Linked DNA regions of Arabidopsis thaliana. Each later gene encodes a partner of the first gene's protein in a complex. Each region holds a gene or a part of one and is shown on either strand. Other genes may lie near its edges.

The links.
Region 2: AT4G20980 (region 1) and TRIP-1 share a complex: the UniProt entries of both Arabidopsis thaliana proteins name them as parts of the eukaryotic translation initiation factor 3 (eIF-3) complex.

Annotation. Positions count from the first base shown.
Region 1 is NC_003075.7:11,214,971-11,218,721, forward strand, and holds the start of AT4G20980 (Eukaryotic translation initiation factor 3 subunit 7 (eIF-3)), read left to right. Parts: upstream 1-1,910; 5' UTR 1,911-2,026; coding exon 2,027-3,751. Other genes in the region: AT4G20970 (basic helix-loop-helix (bHLH) DNA-binding superfamily protein), read left to right, coding at 289-420, 520-885, 1,168-1,242. UniProt on the Arabidopsis thaliana protein: mRNA cap-binding component of the eukaryotic translation initiation factor 3 (eIF-3) complex, which is involved in protein synthesis of a specialized repertoire of mRNAs and, together with other initiation factors, stimulates binding of mRNA and methionyl-tRNAi to the 40S ribosome.
Region 2 is NC_003071.7:19,003,697-19,007,447, forward strand, and holds the start of TRIP-1 (TGF-beta receptor interacting protein 1), read right to left. Parts: upstream 2,037-3,751; 5' UTR 1,812-2,036; exon of another isoform or gene 1,726-1,811; 5' UTR 1,698-1,725; coding exon 1,514-1,697; intron 1,366-1,513; coding exon 1,150-1,365; intron 1,055-1,149; coding exon 921-1,054; intron 824-920; coding exon 704-823; intron 594-703; coding exon 504-593; coding exon of another isoform or gene 483-503; exon of another isoform or gene 411-482; coding exon 324-410; intron 224-323; coding exon 144-223; intron 36-143; coding exon 1-35. Other genes in the region: AT2G46290 (Transducin/WD40 repeat-like superfamily protein), read right to left, coding at 2,214-2,289, 2,392-2,471, 2,559-2,645, 2,741-2,830, 2,933-3,052, 3,153-3,286, 3,383-3,598, 3,734-3,751. UniProt on the Arabidopsis thaliana protein: Component of the eukaryotic translation initiation factor 3 (eIF-3) complex, which is involved in protein synthesis of a specialized repertoire of mRNAs and, together with other initiation factors, stimulates binding of mRNA and methionyl-tRNAi to the 40S ribosome.

The DNA of each region.
Region 1 (3,751 bases):
AACTATTAACAGAACCATTAAAAACTATATATGAACACATAAAATATATAATTGACCATAACGACGAGTCAAGATATATATTTAAAGAACTTACTTTTTTCCACTTTGTTTTGCTTTTTTTTTTTTTAGTCTTTGGTACATATATATTACAAACCCTTTTCCAGTAAATAGTTAGCACAAACTAATTATCAGATGTCACTTAAACCAACCTCCTTCTTTATATAAGCTTGGTTAACATTGAGTTTGTTATCATGGTCTATGTGAAACAATTCAGGAATAAAAAAAGAAATGGAGCCGAGCCATTCAAACACAGGTCAATCAAGATCTGTAGATCGCAAAACGGTTGAGAAAAATAGAAGGATGCAAATGAAGTCTCTCTACTCAGAACTCATCTCTCTTCTTCCTCATCATTCTTCTACGGTTTCTTCCTCTTGGCCCTCTTATATGCTTATATAATCTAAGATTCCATGTATGGGTGATGATCTTAATATTCTAAACTCTTTTATTATTTCATGTTAGGAGCCTTTAACACTACCTGATCAGCTAGATGAAGCTGCAAACTACATCAAGAAGCTACAAGTGAACGTGGAGAAAAAGAGAGAAAGGAAAAGGAACCTCGTTGCGACTACAACTTTGGAGAAACTGAATTCCGTCGGATCTTCATCGGTTTCGTCGAGCGTCGATGTCTCCGTGCCAAGAAAGCTGCCAAAAATCGAGATTCAAGAAACTGGTTCCATTTTTCACATCTTTCTTGTGACAAGCTTGGAACACAAGTTTATGTTTTGTGAGATCATTCGTGTTCTCACCGAGGAATTAGGAGCTGAGATCACTCATGCTGGATACTCCATTGTTGATGATGCTGTCTTCCACACCCTTCACTGCAAGGTATAATTCGGAAAGTAAAACATTTTTTGCAATGGAATTTAAGAATCAAACTTTGCTACTACTACTATGTTAAAACTAGGTCTAATCCAGCTTGTATACACATTGGGAATGAGTTCAAAGTTAGGGAATGATATTTATACTTGTTGTTTTTATATTTAATAAAACTTGCACTCAAAAACGCTAAGAAGCTGCATGTTCCCATCTGATTGTTAAGTTTCTACTAGCTGATTCCTATTAATATCCATATGTTAGTAAACTAAATTTAATTTATATTTTATATAGGTGGAAGAACACGATTATGGAGCTAGGAGTCAAATTCCTGAAAGACTGGAGAAGATTGTGAACAGTGTTCACTAATATTGATTCCTTGTTCCTTTATTAAAAAAAAAAGTTCTATGTTTTTGTTCCTTTTCTTGAATTATTTTTGGTGTTAGCTAGATTCCTTTTCTTGAATTGTATCATGTGCTGTGAGAGTGATGTTTCATTTGTAAGCATAATATATACTTTTCTCTACTTAAAGCTGTGAAATATATTTTGTTTTTTGGTATCAACAAAGCTGTGAAATATATGAAACTTAGGATGATGATTTTCAAGAACGAAACCAAAAAAAAAAGTTTCTTAGAATTAATACATGAACGAGCGAAATAACTTCACCTTTTTTCAATGTGTTATACTTGCCCAAGCATTTGTAATCTAGTGATAGGAGAAACTTTGGTGATAGGTGAAACTCTCAGATCCGAGTTTGAATATCCCGTGGTATTAGTTAGAAAACATTTAAATTCGGGACAGATAGTGTTGTGGTCCTTCGGGAAAAGTTTACTTCGGAGCACTTTGGTGCGTTTCTATCGAAGCTGACCAGATCAGCAAATAGAGTTTATCAAAAAAAAATGTGTTATACTATTTCAAATTGATGAATTTGAATTCTAAATTTTTATTTTATTTTATTTTTTTCTCAAAGTCAGAAATGAAAAACATGATTTAAGACTTCAAGTGTTATATATGGGTTTTGAAGAATACTAAAGCCCATGAGCCCAAACATTAACAAAAATGTTTTTTTCTTGTACCTTCTCTCTTCAACGTAGACTAAAGAATTAGGGTTTCCGCTTTCCACACACACAGCTGCAACACTATCTTCTCAGAAATGGTAACCGAAGCTTTCGAATTCGTCGCCGTTCCTTTCAATTCCGATGGCTGGGGACCTCCAGACGCTTCCGACGTTTCCTCCTCCGCCTCTCCCACCAGCGTCGCCGCCGCTAATCTTCTCCCGAACGTTCCTTTCGCTTCCTTCTCCCGTTCCGATAAGCTCGGCCGTGTAGCTGATTGGACTCGCAATCTCTCTAATCCATCCGCTCGTCCTAACACCGGATCCAAATCAGATCCGTCTGCAGTTTTCGATTTCTCCGCTTTCGCAATCGACGAAGGCTTCGGTCTCGCTTCCTCCGGTGGTAATCCCGACGAAGACGCAGCTTTCCGTCTCGTCGACGGTAAACCTCCGCCGCGTCCTAAATTCGGACCTAAATGGCGTTTCAATCCTCACCACAATCGGAATCAGCTTCCTCAACGGCGAGATGAAGAAGTTGAAGCTAAGAAGCGTGATGCTGAGAAGGAACGAGCTCGTCGTGATCGTCTCTACAATAACAACCGTAACAACATCCATCACCAACGCCGTGAAGCTGCCGCTTTCAAATCATCCGTTGATATTCAGCCGGAGTGGAACATGCTTGAGCAGATCCCTTTCTCAACATTCTCGAAGCTCTCGTACACAGTTCAAGAACCAGAAGATCTTCTTCTCTGTGGTGGCCTTGAGTACTACAACCGCCTTTTCGATCGCATAACGCCGAAAAACGAACGCAGACTCGAGCGTTTCAAGAACAGGAACTTCTTCAAAGTCACTACTAGTGATGATCCTGTGATTAGGCGTTTAGCTAAGGAAGACAAAGCTACTGTTTTCGCTACTGATGCTATATTAGCTGCTCTTATGTGTGCTCCTAGATCTGTTTACTCTTGGGATATTGTTATTCAACGTGTTGGTAACAAACTGTTCTTTGACAAGAGAGATGGATCACAGCTTGATTTGTTGTCTGTGCATGAGACATCTCAAGAGCCATTGCCTGAGTCTAAAGATGATATCAATTCTGCTCATTCTCTAGGTGTGGAAGCTGCTTACATCAATCAGAACTTTTCGCAGCAGGTTTTGGTTAGAGATGGAAAGAAGGAAACTTTTGATGAAGCCAATCCATTTGCTAATGAAGGTGAAGAGATTGCTTCTGTTGCTTATAGGTATAGAAGGTGGAAGCTTGATGATAATATGCATCTTGTTGCGAGGTGTGAGTTACAGAGTGTTGCTGATCTCAACAACCAAAGGTCGTTTCTTACTTTGAATGCTCTTAACGAGTTTGATCCTAAGTACTCTGGTGTTGATTGGAGACAGAAGCTTGAAACTCAGAGAGGTGCGGTTTTAGCTACAGAATTGAAGAACAATGGAAATAAGTTGGCTAAATGGACTGCACAAGCTTTATTGGCTAATGCTGATATGATGAAGATTGGTTTTGTCTCTAGGGTTCATCCTCGTGATCATTTCAACCATGTTATATTATCTGTTTTGGGGTATAAGCCGAAGGATTTCGCTGGACAGATTAATCTCAACACTTCTAACATGTGGGGGATTGTGAAATCCATAGTTGATCTGTGTATGAAACTAAGCGAAGGGAAGTATGTTCTTGTGAAGGATCCATCGAAGCCTCAAGTGAGGATTTATGAGGTTCCACCTGATGCTTTCGAGAATGATTACGTTGAGGAACCGTTGCCTGAAGATGAACAGGTTCAGCCAACTGAGGAAAACACAGAGGGAGCAGAAGCAAGTGTA
Region 2 (3,751 bases), on another chromosome or scaffold:
GCCTCACGTAACCGTCTTCACCTCCACTAGAGAAACTGAAATATACATTCCACAAACTCAGTGAGAGAGCCAAAACACACACTCAAAACCTCATCATGTGAGGATTGTGTCAATCAATCAAAATCCAAATGTTGTTAATTTACCTCTTCCCATCAGGATTGAATGCCAAAGCATTTATAGGTCCAAAATGACCTTTCACACCACCAATTTCCTCTTGCAGAATCTATATATTATACCAAACACAATGATACACGGTTATTTAAATATGTGTATTTTCCAGGTTACATGTTTCCAAGTAAAACACTCTTATTATAAACACTAACCTTGTCGTAAAACTTAGCTTCAAACTTTCCAGCACGATGATCAGTGGTAGTCACAGCTGATGCATCTTGACCACCTCCAAGTACAACCTAAAAGAGAGAGCAGAAACATTCACAAAGATAACATCATGCCTTGCTGATTCTGGGATTCGAAATTGAATTTCATGAAGCATTAGTGCATACATGGTTGAGAAGTGGAGACAGGGAGACAGCATTTACGGGCACCACAGTGGTGTAAGTCTTAAGAAGAGTCAGCGTTCTCATGTCCCAAAGCTGAAACAATCAACAAAAGAGAACACTCTATTAGATGATTTATATCTATATGTATAGTGCAAAAATTTGAAACAAGATATACTGTACAAGTAAAAGAAAGAAGCACATGCCTTTGCAGTTTTGTCAAGTGAACCTGTAAGGAAGTGAGAGTCATCAGCTGCTTTGCAGAGCGATGTAATGTCCTTCTTGTGACCCACTTCCTCATCTGATTGCTTGAGCAATTTTCCCGTCTAGTAACAATGGCAGTAGCACCACATAAGGTTTAGTTCATAACCTTAAAAGAGAGAAATTAATACACAAGTAAGGCCTTAAGAAAAATTGAAATACCTCGGCATCCCAGATTCTGATAACTTTATCTTCACCACCACTAACAATAGTTTGGTTCAGGGGACCCCAAACAGCTCTATTGATCCTCTTCTTTCCATCAGGACAATGAAGGACAAGCACAGACTCAGCATCCTCTACACAATTGCATCAAACAAACAATTTCCTTTTAACACATACAAGAAGTTGGCTAAAACGTAAGTAGTAATTCAGCTAGGAATGTACAACTTACGTTCCTCAGGATCTTCCGCAATACGCTTCACATGAATAGCAGCGGTACGGTCCACGAAGTGATCAGTGGTAATCACTGCAAGACGATCTCCAACAGCGAAATCCACAGACCTCGTAGGGGCATTAAACTTGAAAGTGAACAATTCTTTTCCAGATTTTACATCCCACAGCTTTGCAGTCTGATCAGCACTACCAGTGATCAATCTTGACGAGTCTCCTAAGAAATCACTAAACATTCAGCTTTGAAAGACTAAGACGACAGAATTCACTCGATACTATAAACCCTAAACAAGCTTGTAGCTAAGGGGAAACAATGAATCTAATCATCGACTCGATACTATTTGAAGAGAAATTGAGAAACTTACGGGAGACATCACAGCACCAAACAGCACCGTTGTGACCACGGTAAGTTCCAAGGCGCTCGCCGTTATCGGCAAACCAGAGGGTGGGTGTGTGGTCCTTGGCGCAGGAGAAAAGCAGATCTCCTTCTCTGTTGTACCTCAGAAACGTCAATGGACGTTCATGTCCCTTCATCAGGATCGGCCTCATCTTCAGTTTCTTAGGGTTTGATGCGAATCTTTGAAACAGATACGAAATCGAATCAATCAAAAGACAAGAAAAATAATTGAAGAAACGATTACGGAAAACGGCTTTCTTCTTCACCTGTTCACTTGAAGACGAGAGAGACGACGAGGAAGAAGTGCAAAAACCCTAGGAAATCAACTTTGTCCTCTCTTTTGACACTTTTACCCTTTTGTAATTTTTTAAATTACTCGAGATGCCACAGTTTAGCAAAGCTCAGTGGCTTCAGCGTTTTTAGCTTCTTCCCTATTTGATGAGTTCGAACCTCGCCCGTTGCGCCTATTTTGTTTTTTTCCTTTCTCAAAAGCAGTTTCATACGTTTTTTTTTTGTGGGTGCATATGTCTATTTGAAAAGACAAACAACAAGCTTTATCATCAAAGTAGTATATTGGTAATTTGGTAGTACATCAATTCTGAAAATGTTAAAAAGAGAGAAAATATTATGTGGAATGATGAAAAAATGGAAAGACATGTTCAAAGAATCTAAATCTTGATGTTGAAGTAATTGGAGTCAAAATGATGCAGTCTCACGTAGCCGTCTTCACCTCCACTAGAGAAACTGAAAATACATTCCAAAAAACACTCAGCAACAAAGCCTAAAAAACACTCTCATCAACTGAGGATTGTATCAATCAATCAAAATCAAATTTTGTTAGTTTACCTCTTCCCATCAGGACTGAATGCCAAAGCATTAATAGGTCCAAAATGACCTTTCACGCCACCAATTTCCTCTTGCAGAATCTATATATTATAAGACCAAATACACAGTTACATATCTCTTTCCAGGTTACAAGTTTTTAAATAAAACTGTTTTACTGCAACACTAACCGTGTCGTAAAACTTAGCTTCAAACTTCCCAGCACGATGATCAGTGGTAGTCACAGCTGATGCATCTTGACCACCTCCAAGCACAACCTAAAAGAGCGAGAGCAGAAACATTCACAAAGATAACATCAAGACTTGTTGCTTTTGGGAACCGAATTTGAATTTCAAGAAGCATTAGTGCATACATGGTTGAGAAGTGGAGACATGGCGACAGCATTTACAGGCACCACAGTGGTGTAAGTCTTAATAAGAGTCAGCGTTCTCATGTCCCAAAGCTGAAAGAATCAACAAAAAGAACACTCTATTAGATGATTTATCTCTATATGTAATATGTATAGAGCATATTTTTGAAACAAGTAAAAGAAAGAAGCACATGCCTTTGCAGTTTTGTCATGTGAACCTGTAAGGAAGTGAGAGTCATCAGCTGCTTTGCAGAGGGATGTAATGGCCTCCTTGTGACCCACTTCCTCATCTGATTGCTTAAGCAATTTTCCAGTCTAGTAACAATGGCAGTAGCACCACATAAGGTTTAAGCTAATAAAAAAAAAAAGAGAGATATTGATAGACAAAAGAAAGGCCTTAAGAAAGTTGAAATACCTCTGCATCCCAGATTCTGATAGCAGCATCTTCACCACCACTAACAATGGTTTGGTTCAGGGGACCCCAAACAGCTCTATTGATCTTCTTCTTTCCATCAGGACTTTGAAGGACAAGCACAGAATCACCAACCTCTACATCAATTACATTAAATCAATTCCTTTTACCCATACAAAAAAGACATAGGCTAAAAAACATAAGTAGATTTTAACTTAGAATTGACAACTTACGGTCTTCGGGATCTTCTGCAATGCGTTTGACATGAATAGCAGAGGAAGTTCCCACGAAGTGATCAGTGGTAATCACTGCAAGATGATCACCAACAGAGAAATCCACAGACCTTGCAGGGGCACCAAACTTGAAAGTGAACAATTCTTTGCCAGATTTCACATCCCACAGCTTTGCAGTCTGATCAGCACTACCAGTGATCAATCTAGACGAGTCTCCTAAGAAATCACAAACAAAACACTAATCGTTAAGCTATGAAAGACTAAAACAACAAAGACAACGACTTAAATCCTAAACTGAATCCATTCCATCCACTATATACTATTTGAATTTGAGAGGCTGAGACCACTTACTGGAGATATCACAGCACC